Linked DNA regions of Ovis aries. The protein of the gene in region 2 interacts with the protein of the main gene of each other region in a biochemical or structural test. Links are inferred from orthologs where the notes say so. Each region holds a gene or a part of one and is shown on either strand. Other genes may lie near its edges.

The links. The genes of interacting proteins can lie anywhere in the genome.
Region 1: of the proteins of RNF40 (region 2) and histone H2B type 2-E, one has a biochemical effect on the other in vitro, tested with the Homo sapiens proteins (2 studies listed by BioGRID). The link is inferred for Ovis aries from reciprocal best matches to the Homo sapiens genes RNF40 and H2BC21.
Region 3: the proteins of RNF40 (region 2) and WAC form a complex in vitro, tested with the Homo sapiens proteins (2 studies listed by BioGRID). The link is inferred for Ovis aries from reciprocal best matches to the Homo sapiens genes RNF40 and WAC.

The regions. Positions count from the first base shown.
Region 1 is NC_056054.1:99,992,048-99,996,125, forward strand, and holds the start of histone H2B type 2-E, read right to left. Parts: upstream 2,801-4,078; 5' UTR 2,754-2,800; coding exon of another isoform or gene 2,361-2,753; 5' UTR 2,196-2,360; coding exon of another isoform or gene 1,806-2,195; 5' UTR 1,483-1,805; coding exon 1,102-1,482; 3' UTR 1-1,101. Other genes in the region: histone H2A type 2-C, read left to right, coding at 1,806-2,195; histone H2A type 2-B, read right to left, coding at 2,361-2,753. UniProt on the Homo sapiens protein: Core component of nucleosome. Nucleosomes wrap and compact DNA into chromatin, limiting DNA accessibility to the cellular machineries which require DNA as a template.
Region 2 is NC_056077.1:27,403,519-27,407,018, forward strand, and holds part of RNF40 (E3 ubiquitin-protein ligase BRE1B), read left to right. Parts: coding exon 1-6; intron 7-123; coding exon 124-270; intron 271-368; coding exon 369-443; intron 444-1,545; coding exon 1,546-1,665; intron 1,666-1,761; coding exon 1,762-1,941; intron 1,942-2,128; coding exon 2,129-2,264; intron 2,265-3,081; coding exon 3,082-3,203; intron 3,204-3,289; coding exon 3,290-3,500.
Region 3 is NC_056066.1:35,544,043-35,548,312, forward strand, and holds the start of WAC (WW domain-containing adapter protein with coiled-coil), read right to left. Parts: upstream 2,801-4,270; 5' UTR 2,381-2,800; coding exon 2,340-2,380; intron 2,255-2,339; exon of another isoform or gene 2,133-2,254; intron 1,967-2,132; coding exon 1,929-1,966; intron 421-1,928; coding exon 208-420; intron 1-207.

The sequences.
Region 1 (4,078 bases), on a different chromosome or scaffold from region 2:
GAAATGAACCGCACCCATCCATCCATCCATGAAGGCTATTTTTAAAAGAAGAGGGACAGAAAAATGAATTCAATACTAATTCAGTAAGTACTTAACCGTCCACTGTGTGCCAAGCACTGGTTGGCGGGGACGATATAGAGGAAAACCAAACCAATAAAGTTTCCGTTAAGGTCTTGAGGAAAATGGTAAACAAGAAAAAAAAAAAAAAACCAACTATTAATAGCAAAACAATTTCTGACAGCTGCTAGGAAGAAAATAAAATAGTGAGGGACCAGAGGCAGGAAGGAGAGACACAACTTCCCGAAGGTGTCTGAGAGGTGACGTTTGAGACCAGACTAAAATGACTAGTGCCTTCCGGTGACTTGACGCCGAAATATTCCGAGAAAAGAGAATTAAAAGCAAAAATGATCCACAAACCAAGAAATAACAGGAATTTCACAGCGCCAAAGTGAGCGGCGCAAACCAGAACCTATGAATTCCGGAGCGGCGGGAGAGTTTGAATATTCATGTCCAATCAGGGAAAGGCTGAGACCAGGCAGCGCGGGCTCAGTATGAAGTATCCCGAACCGCTGGTGTCCACAGGAAGCCACATCGCAAGGGCCTAATTCGTGATCCGGCACCCACGCAGCTGCCAAACTCGCAATTCTTCAGGGCTGTGATGCAGTGTTCGAAAGACCCGGGCTTGGTCGTGTCCTGGGGTCCTTTCTTAAATGTGGATAGCTGAAATCACTCACTTCGTTTTGGAACACCGGTGACACGTACCCAACAGAGCCACCAGGACACAAGTCTAGGAGCAGTCTCAGTATCCTAATTTAGAACTGACTCATACGAAAGCTAAGCAGCAGTGAGGGTTAAGACGCGCCCTAGATTCAAAAGCAAAGCCAGTCACGCGCCAGGAATCTCAAGTCATAAGGGCTTAAAAAGCTACGTGTGTCATCTTCTATTACTTTTAGCCAACTAGAGTAACTTACTTTGTGAGGAACTGAGGAGAAACAAGTGAACAAGGCTCTTTTCTGGTGATTAGGTGGGTGGCTCTGAAAAGAGCCTTTGGAAAATCAAGCGGCTTTGCGACTCGTGCGAGCGCCGCGTCCCAGCAGGGACTCACTTGGAGCTGGTGTACTTGGTGACCGCCTTGGTGCCCTCGGACACGGCATGCTTGGCCAGCTCGCCAGGCAGCAGCAGGCGCACGGCCGTCTGGATCTCCCGAGACGTGATGGTTGAGCGCTTGTTGTAATGCGCCAAGCGCGACGCTTCGCCCGCGATGCGCTCGAAGATGTCGTTGACAAATGAGTTCATGATGCCCATGGCCTTGGACGAAATACCGGTGTCTGGGTGCACCTGCTTCAGCACCTTGTACACGTAGATGGAATAGCTCTCCTTGCGGCTGCGCTTGCGCTTCTTGCCGTCTTTCTTTTGGGCTTTGGTGACGGCTTTCTTGGAGCCCTTCTTGGGCGCGGGAGCGGATTTTGCCGGCTCAGGCATTGTGAAGCAACGCCGTTTGGCAAAAAAAGAGGTATGAGAATGGGCGGGCCTGATCCATTTATAACCACCGTATGCAAATTAAGGCTCCAAAAGTCTTACATTCCCATTGGTCCGTGGAGAGACCTTACGTTATCAGTAATAGCTACAGAATAACACCGACTCTTAACCTTATTGGCTGTTTCAGGAGCCAATTTGGGACCAATGAAAAGCTCGTTCCTGACCCCACCCCTCAGAAAACTTATAAAGGCTTTCCAATTGCTGATCTTTCTTAAACATTTGCCGAGGGGCTTTGATCTTTAAGGGTACTACTGTTATCTTTAGTCATGTCTGGTCGCGGAAAGCAGGGAGGCAAGGCCCGGGCGAAGGCCAAGTCGCGTTCGTCCCGTGCAGGCTTGCAGTTCCCGGTAGGGCGAGTGCATCGCCTGCTGCGCAAAGGCAACTACGCTGAGCGGGTGGGGGCCGGCGCGCCCGTCTACATGGCGGCGGTTCTGGAGTATCTGACGGCCGAGATCCTGGAGCTTGCCGGCAACGCGGCGCGAGACAACAAAAAGACGCGCATCATTCCTCGTCACCTGCAGCTGGCCATCCGCAACGACGAAGAGCTGAACAAGCTGTTAGGCAAGGTTACCATCGCGCAAGGCGGCGTTTTGCCCAACATCCAGGCCGTTTTATTACCAAAGAAAACCGAAAGCCATAAAGCCAAAAGCAAATAAAGCCTTACAAAGTAAACCAAAGAACAAAGGCTCTTTTTAGAGCCACCCAAGTTTTCAAAAAAAGAGCTAATGCGCTATTTTGTGATCAGCCCTTTATTTTGACACTTTGGTGGTGGCTCTTAAAAGAGCCTTTGGGGTGAGTGGGGATGGTATCAAGCCTCTTAATTACTTATTCTTGCCAGGCTTGTGACTCTCCGTTTTTTTGGGCAATAAGACTGCCTGGATATTGGGTAAGACACCGCCCTGGGCAATAGTGACACCCCCGAGTAACTTGTTGAGCTCTTCATCATTTCTCACGGCCAGTTGCAAATGGCGAGGGATGATGCGCGTCTTCTTGTTGTCTCGGGCGGCGTTGCCCGCCAGCTCCAGGATTTCCGCGGTCAGGTACTCCAGCACTGCCGCCAAGTACACCGGTGCGCCGGCCCCCACCCTTTCGGCGTAGTTCCCTTTGCGCAGCAGGCGGTGCACTCGCCCTACAGGGAACTGAAGGCCAGCGCGGGATGAGCGCGACTTGGCCTTGGCCCGAGCTTTGCCTCCCTGCTTTCCGCGGCCTGACATTACTGCTAAAACTGCAGTTACAGCTTCTTTTTCAAGGAGAACGATATGGCAAGGGTAACCAATTTGATGTAATTTATAAGAGCTACCGGGAGGGGTGAAGGGAAGTGGTTTGATTGGCTAAAAGCGGAGTCCGATCGAACAGCCAATAGGAAAGCGAAGAGCAGACTCTTCGTTTGCATCTTGGGCTACGAGGAAATGACGGCTTCTATAAGTACCTACCAATCGTTGTGAGCCATATTAAAGCCCTTTATTTGCATGCCAGGGTTTTTAAAGTGAAGGCTTTCAAACAAAACGCTCTTCTGTTTTGCTTTATTTACTGAGCGGCAATTTTTTCCTAGGTTACGGGTGGTAGGTTTTTTCCGGTTTCCCAAAAAGGATTTTAAAGGGCTGCAGAGAGCCTTTAGCAGATGCAGTTACTCCCACTCAAGGGCCTTGGAACCTTAAATTACTAAGTTCCTCCTTTTCTGGCTCGTCAAAGCCAGACTACCTTAAAAAATACAAAACTACTGAGGCCTCTTCTTTTCTTTCAATTTAGTTGTTGCCTGCGGTGTGGCTTCGCCCCATCCCCACCCGTCTGTTCCTCAGACTCCGGTTTAATCGAGGGCATTTCCTTCTCAGAGGATCTTCCCGACCCAGAGATCGAATCCGGGGTCTCCAGCATTGCAGGCAGGTGGATTCCTTACGGTCTGAGCCACCAGGGAAGCCCAGAATAGTATGTCATCCTCCTCTTGACCTCTAGGAGGCGTCCCAAACCGCTTTCAACTTGAAGGCGTCTTTCCCTTGGCATTCAAAATGTCGCCCTCCGTCTTTCCTCATTCTGCTGCTTTTCCCCCTGTCCGTGTTTAAATCCCAGTGTTAAGCTCGGCTCTGCCTCCGTATTCGCCCTTTCCGCACACTTCATTCTTCACTCTTCCCGAAGTCGTACCCAATTCAGTGCTTTCATCTAGTATTTGCTGCAGAAGCTCAGGCCTGTATACCTGTTAACTGGATACTTCAACCTGTCTGTCCCTATAACTCGACCTATCCAAAAGCAAACTCATCCAGTCACCTGCCACCACCACCACCCCCCCCCAACTCCCCCCCCCCCCCCCCCCCCCCACCCCCCCCCCCCCCCCCCCCCCCCCCCCCCCCCCCCCCCCCCCCCCGCCAGCTCCCTTCTCTTTGTTCTTTCCCTGAATTGCTCCAACAGTCTGCCCGGTACCTGAGCTAACATCTACAGTTTCCTGCACCTTACAGCATATATTCATGAATATTCCTGAGTATTCATTGGAGGGACTGATGTTGAAGCTGAAAGTCTAATACTTCGGCCGCCTGATGCAAAGAAC
Region 2 (3,500 bases):
TTGGAGGTGGGAGTTGGGATTTTGGGGCGGGATTGGAACCAGGACAGGGTTTGGATTAGTTGGACACCCAAGGATCTCAGCCAAGTCTGTCATCTAAGCCTCTGTCCCCTTCATTGTCCCCAGTACTCTGAGCTCCAAGATAAAGTGACATCTGCAGAGACCAAAGTGCTGGAGATGGAGACGACAGTAGAGGACCTGCAGTGGGACATTGAGAAGTTGCGGAAGCGAGAGCAAAAACTTAATAAGCACCTGGCAGAAGCCTTAGAGCAGGTGAGGCTCAGGCGCTGGGTCAGATGGAGCCTGAACAGAGTACTTGGGGCCCTAACTTCTCTTCTCCACACGCACGTGTCCATCTCTTCTCTCCACAGCTCAACTCTGGCTACTATGTGTCTGGGAGTTCTTCAGGCTTCCAGGGGGGCCAGATCACACTCAGCATGCAGAAGGTGAGCAGCAGCATTCTTCCTGGTCCCTCCTGCAACTTTTTCTCTACTCTACCCTTGAACTTCCCCCTTAGAATTAAGGACAACTGGGGTCTTGGAGGTCTTTGCCTGTCACTCACAGTGTCCTTTGTTTTATTGTTTCATATCTGTATTCAGTAAATAGTTGTTGAATACTGAATGTTAGCTACTGTGTAGAAAGTAGTTATTTTGGAGAGCAAAACAGAAACCTATCTTGGAGCTTAAGTTCTAGTTGGGGCGTTAACAAGAAGTAGGTAAATCGTATATCAGTTGATTAAAAGTCGGTCAGTCAGTAGAGTCCAGTCCAGTCCAGTCCCATCCCTCAGTCGTGTCCAACTCTTTGCAACTCCATAGACTGCAGCACACCAGGCCCCCCTGTCCATCATTAACCCCTGGAGTTTATTCAAACTCATGTCTGTTGAGTCAGTGATGCCATCGAACCATCTCATCCTCTGTTGTCCCCTTCTCCTCTCGCCTTCAATTTTTCCGAGCATCAGGGTCTTTTCAAATGAGTCAGTTCTTCACATCAGGTGGCCAAAGTATTGGAGCTTCAGCATCAGTCCTTCCAAAGAATATTCAGCACTGATTTCTTTTAGGATGGACTGGTTGGATCTCCTTGCTGTCCAAGGGCTTAAAAGTACCACTGAGGAAAGAGGTGTTGGTTGTGTTGGAGGCATTTGGCATTCTCGTTGTGTAGCTGAAAAAGGGCCTTGCTGCCACTGTCCCCTTCCATGTCCTGCTTTTGCTCTCACTTTTGTCGCTGCACATTGTTTTTCTTTTTTCGGTGCTGCAAAGTCATTGTTCCCTGTCCTCCTTTTCTCAGCTTGCTCTTCAGGTCTTCCAGGAAGGCTTCCCTGACCCCCTGTCAGATACAAGCCTTGGTTCCCAGCACTGACCATGCAGTATTACATTTTCTCCTACCTAACTGGGAACACTTAGGAAAGTGCCTGGGTCTGGTTTGTCCTTGAGCCTTCAGAATCCATCACTGCTCCATATAGGGGAGCTTGGGCAGAGTATATGGTGAGGCTGTGAGGGATGCACGCCTCATGCCCTGGCCCTGCCTCCCACTGGTCTCCTCACTCCACAGTTTGAAATGCTGAATGCGGAGTTGGAGGAAAATCAGGAATTGGCCAATAGCCGCATGGCAGAGCTAGAGAAGCTGCAGGCCGAACTTCAGGGGGCCGTGCGGACCAATGAGCGCCTCAAGGTGAGTTGTGTTTGGGGCTGGGAAGGCCTTACCCTGTAGGGTGGGCGCTGAGCTCTCCTTCCTCTTGCTGAGTGAGCTCAGACATCCTGCCCCTAGGTAGCATTGCGGAGCCTTCCCGAGGAGGTGGTCCGGGAGACAGGGGAGTACCGGATGCTGCAGGCACAGTTCTCACTGCTCTACAATGAGTCTCTGCAAGTGAAGACCCAGCTGGATGAGGCCCGTGGGCTGCTGCTGGCCACCAAGAATTCCCACCTGAGGCACATTGAGCACATGGAGGTATGCCCGTGGAACAGGGGTAAGGGTCAGGCCCTCTGGGTTAGGTTGTTCCTGGGTCAAGTGTGTCAGAGCCCGGGGTGCCTGCCAGAGATCCCTTGGGAATAAATTCTTCCTAAGCCTCTGAGGTTGAAGGTGGGCTTGCCATGAGCCCAGGGCTTGTGTGGGTCCTTAATGCCTCACTTCACAGAGTGATGAGCTGGGGCTGCAGAAGAAGCTACGCACCGAGGTTATACAGCTGGAGGACACGCTGGCCCAGGTTCGCAAGGAGTACGAGATGCTGCGCATCGAGTTTGAACAGAACCTGGCGGCCAATGAGCAGGCGGGTATGTGCGAGGACAAGTTTGAGGTGGGGCCTTTTGTGGGATTGCTGGGCTCTGATGTGGCCAGATGCTTGTCCAGAGGTTAGGTCCTTTCCTTTCACAGAGCCTCATCTCTCTGTGAAAAATGGGGACCCCACCACATGGCTCAAAGATGCAGTGAGGTTTACAGCTGCCTGAGGTGGCTGATGGTGCCAACTCTGCCAGAACAGGAGCTGTCAGCCCCATCCATGATTCTCTGGCCTTTAGGGTGCCTCTCTACTAGTTCATTTTACAAAGGTTTATTGAACACCTCTTTTGAGCCAGGCTCAGTTCTAAGCTTTGGGATTATACCAGCAAACAAAATACAAAGAATCCCTGCTGTTGTGGAGCCATGTTACAGAGAGAGAGGACAGACAACAAAGGGAAAATTGAACATGTATGTTGGGTAGTGACAAGTATACCAGGAAAAGTAAAGCAAGCAGGGAAGATAAGGAGGTATTAGGAGAAATGCCAGGGACATGAAACTAAGAAGATGACATTTGTTTAAAAAGCTAAAGGAAGTGGACTAACTTACTTTTGTGAGTTTTCAGTTATATGTTCCTTTGAAGGAAATCTGGAAATATTTGCGAAATCTGCATTAGCAAAAATAACACACAGCATCAGATTACATTTGAGTGAATTTTTTTCAGTTATCTGCTGAGCTCACTCTGTCTGTATAAGGCTTCAGTTTTCTTCTTCTTTGTAGTGAGAGTGACGGCTCTGGCCCTGCCTCTCCCCTCACGGAGGGGTTGGGCCCCTAACCCAGGGACCAGTCTGACCTTGGTTTCCTTTGCTCCTCAAGGGCCCATCAACCGCGAGATGCGCCACCTGATCAGCAGCCTACAGAACCACAACCACCAGCTAAAGGGGGATGCCCAGCGATACAAGCGGAAACTGCGCGAAGTACAGGCCGAAATTGCCAAGGTGAGGAGCGGGCTGCCTGGGGACGGCCATGGCTAGGCCCCAGTGATCATGTCTCACCTCAGCCCTGTTCTCTCTCTGCTTTGCAGCTCCGGGCCCAGGCCAGTGGCTCTACTCACTCCATCCCCAGCCTGGGCCACCCAGAGGACTCCAGCCTCAGTGCCCCAGTCCCAGGGAAAGAAGAGGGTGGGCCAGGCCCTGTTGGTGCCCCCGACACCAGGAAGGAGATGGCTTCCATGCCTGGCGCTGCCCTTACTACCTCGTCAGCGAAGAAGGAAGACCTGGTGCCCTCCGAGGAAG
Region 3 (4,270 bases), on a different chromosome or scaffold from region 2:
AATGCATCCTCTAATTATCACCCACTGGGGTCCAGCTGTAGATTCTGGGGTCAGCATCTTATTTCTACATAATTTGTTTAGGAATCAAAATATTCTGATGACATAAACATTTAGTAACATTTGCAAACTGGAAATATGACTAAAACTTTTTGTCTTACATAGAATTATTATTAATAAATGTAAGTTTCAATAGAAAAAGCTACTCACCACCATCCCTCTCTCTAACTCTGTGAATATGCACATTTTTGGCCTTACTGTGACCTGTGCTGTCACTGTATTTGTTTTCAGGACTATCAGATCTCCGCAACATTTTGTTTGGTGGTGAAGGATCTGCGGCGTCTCGCATTTTTTCATGTCTGTGATCACCACTACTGGGGTGACTCTTCGATGAATACTTAAGTGCCTGTAAAACATCACCCCCCCAAAATAAAAAAGAAATCAAACTTTAATTTCATAAGTCAGTTTTATCATAAAATTTGCTATATTACCTATATTCAGTTTTATAAATTTATAAAATTGAAATTTTCTTTTTGAATTCTGCCTTTAAGTTACTCACACAAGACCTAAACACAAGTTATTGTAAGGCTCATCATACATATCAAAATGTGTTTTTTTTAAAAAACCTTCTATTAATCATCTTGTAAACACAAGAAATCAACACTTTGACAAATTAACTCCTCAAACTTTTCTGCCAGTTAAAAAGTTTAAGTATTCACTGAGTACTACTCTAATGTTTTTGCTCTGCAACTATGCTAGACACAAATACAAATAAGCATAAACATGTTTCTTCGATCTGACCCAAAAAAAGCATCAGAATTCAGAGAATTCTCATCAGAATTTCTCCAATTCTTGGATTCAAGTAAGTAAGGCATTTCAGATCTAGTTTAACTACTCTTGCAGGCATGGGAAACAATTTTAAGGTATAGAAATGTAGGCTCTTATTTCTGACCTATCCTAATGGAACTTAATGGAACTCCCTCAAAAAACATTTAACATATTTAAGACAACCATGATATAGCTGTCTTTTTTAATGCATAATTAACCATGTTTTAGAGTGTGATTCAACAGTTTAATCGTTGACCTATCCAAATGTAATGCACAATGTTTTACCCGTCAAGGAACCTAGATTTTTAACTGGAACTTTAACTCATGCTATCCAGAAACACAACCGTTAGCTTGGAAACCCGCTCTCCTATCCTTTAAGTGGTCAGATGCAGTAAGTATTTACTTCTAGAGTCACCCCACAGTTACAAATTAATGAATTTTCCTCCCCCGGAAAACAGGGGCCAACTCTTTCAAAAAAACTTTTACAATGTTACACGAAGCTGTCACAAAAAGAAAACTATGTACCTAAAACTCCTTTCAGGACAGTGAATTACCCAAGTACTCAAAGATCTCAATTTCTACAAAAAGAAAAGCGCCATCTTTCACTGAAGACAATTATTTCCACCGAAAACAAACTGGGAAGGGGTAATGGTTTACAACACACTTAAAGAGTTGCAAACCCATCAGTGGCTTCTTCCCTGCCCTTCCGTCTAATTCTGATACCTCTGCGTTAACTTTTAGTTTCCCCAAAACAACAAATGAAGGTGATTCCAGAGTTACTGAACACGTTGTCCTACCGAGTCCCGCACACCCGAATAACCGAGTCAGGTCCTTCCTGGACAAGAATCAGTTTTTATTCCCTTCCCCCCACCCTCCCCGCAAAAAGAACTTGAACTTCCTCCCGTCACCTGTCAAAATAAGCCCCCACCCCTCGCCGGCGAGCGCCCCGGGAAGCGAGCGCAGGGTTTCCGGCCCCACCAAGCGGGTTTCGCGTCTGTGGCCCCGAAGGGCCTGCAGCGACCTGTGAAGCCTGCGCTCGAGTAGCGGCTCCTCCCTCCCCCGCCGGCCCCGCCAGCCCCGCAGCCCGCGCCCGCCCCGTGGTACCTGGTAAGGCTGCGCGTCCCCCCGCCGGTCGTGACAGCTGGAAAACAGAAGAAAAGGCCACCTGAGGCCGGAGAACGGGCCCCCAGCGCGGGGCCCGCAGAAAGGCCCCCGCTCCGAATCCCAGCGGCGCTCCGGCCCCAGGCAGCCCGCCCTCCCGCCGCGCGCACACGCTCTCGCTCTCACACCCGCTCACACGCACTCACACGGGCTCCCGCCGGCGAGGGGCCGCCGCCGCCCGCGGCCGTCCACCCCCGACTCCCCCCCCTCCCGCCGCCGCCCGCGCGGCCGCTCCCCCTCCCGGCCGCTCCGGATCAGGGTTAACAACAAAAATGGCGGCGCGGCCGGCCCAGATGAGGAGGAGCGCCCCCCCGCCGCCCGCTCCGCCGCCTCGAAACGAAAAGACGATTTACCCATCACTGAGCCTCTGCTGTTTCCTCGCATACATTACCATCAATGCCCGGCCTGTGAGCGTGTGTCGGGGAGGGGGGAGCGGCCGCGGGAGACGGCGGCGGCGGGCGGGCGCGCAGGCGGCGGGCGGCGCAGGCCCGGCGCGCCCTCGGCGACGCTCAGCACCTCCCCGTCACTGGCGCCGGCGCTCCCGGGCCATCTCCTCAGTCCGCACCACGCTCACGCTCAGCTCAGGCCGGGCAGCGGCGAACCGGGGGGTGGGGGGGAGGGGGCAACACGACGCGTCCTGCTCGCCCCGCGGACAGCGCGACTGCCTCCTCCGCCTTCTCCTCCTCCCGCTCCGCCGCCTCCTCCCCTCCTCCCCCCGCCGCCGCCGCTGGGTCCTTCGCCGCCTCCTCCTCCTGCCGCCGCCGCCGCCGCTGGTGCCGCCGCTGCCGCTCCACCAACTACATCCGGGCAACTCGGCCGCTGCGGCCTTCGGAAACCCTCGGCAGTTTCCGCCGCGCCCCTCCTCTCCCACCCTCGCGCGCGCCGGAACGCCGCCTTCGGCAAACCTCGGCTCGTCGCGGCCCTCCTCTTCCTCCGCGGCCTGGCTCGTCTCCTCGCGACCCGTCCGCTCTTTCCGGTCGCCGCTACCGGTCCGCACGCGCCCTTTCGGCCGCCGCCGTTCCGGCTTAGGGGTAGTCGGGCTCGGGGAGCCGCCCGAGGCTGGTCCCGGGGGCCCCGGGGCGCGCGGGGCGGGGAGCGTCTATGGGAGGAGGCCGGTGGGGCGTGCGAGGAGCCATCGCGGACTAAATAAGGGCGGCTGCGCTGCTGCGCGTGCGCCCGGCGGCGCGGGGGCGGGGGGCGCGCGGAGGAGCGCGCCGGCCGCCGCCCCCGCCCCCGCCCCTGCGGGCTCCGGCCGGGAAGCCCGTGGTTGGGCGGCGGGCGGACGGTGAGCCCAGGTGCTCGTTGCGTGCGCGGCGGCCCGAGCTCCCGCGAGGCCCTCTCCTCGGAACCGGAGCCTCGCTCCCGCCTCAGACCGGCGGCAGACCCAGAACTAGGCCTTCGGCCTCACAGAAGTAAATCATCCCCGGAAGCTCGGGAAAAGGGTAGGTGGTGTTCAGGGTCACCGTGCTTTGTGCCCGAAGCCCGTGCGCCTTCGAAGACCAAGGTGAGGACCCGCGGAGGAAGGGCCAGCGCCGCTGCTTTGAAACACCCGATGAGCCTGCTGATGTAGGGAGACACTCATACTTTCCACCCCAGCCGCGCCCTCCCCACCGTCTCCTTTATTTCTCGTTTTTTTCTCTTTTAGCTCGTCCGCGCTCAGATCCAGTCATCTGGAGTTTGTCGCAGGTGAACTAAGGCCTGGTGGTGGTGGTGGTAGTCGCAGAGTCCTAGCCGACTCTTTGCGACCCCTTGGACTGTAGCCCACCAGGCTCCCCTCTGTCCATGGGATTTTCCAGGCAAGAATACAGAAGTGAATTGCCATTTCCTTCTCTTGGGGATCTTCCCAACCCAGGGATTGAACTTGGAATTGCAGGCGGATTCTTTACCAATTGAGTCACCAGAGAAGCTCCAATAAGACCTGGGAAGTGCTAACGAGTTGCTGCAAATTGAATTTTATAGACTGCTACAGGCACAGTGGCATATTTAGAGGGGAAAATATCCAAGTATACTCCCCAATTAAGCTTTACGTGTGTGTGTATGTTGGTGTGTGTTGGTGATGATTTAGTCCTTAAGTCGTGTCCGGCTCTTTGTGACCTCATGGACTGTAGCCCAGCAGGCGCCTCTGTCCATGGGGTTTTCCAGGCACACGAATACTGGAGTAGGTTGTCATTTCCTTTTCCAGGGGATCTTCCTAACCGAGGGATGGAGCTCAGGTCTCCTGCTTCGCAGGTGGATTCTTTACCAACTGAGCCACCAGGGAAGCCCAAATAAAGGCCTCGGGGGC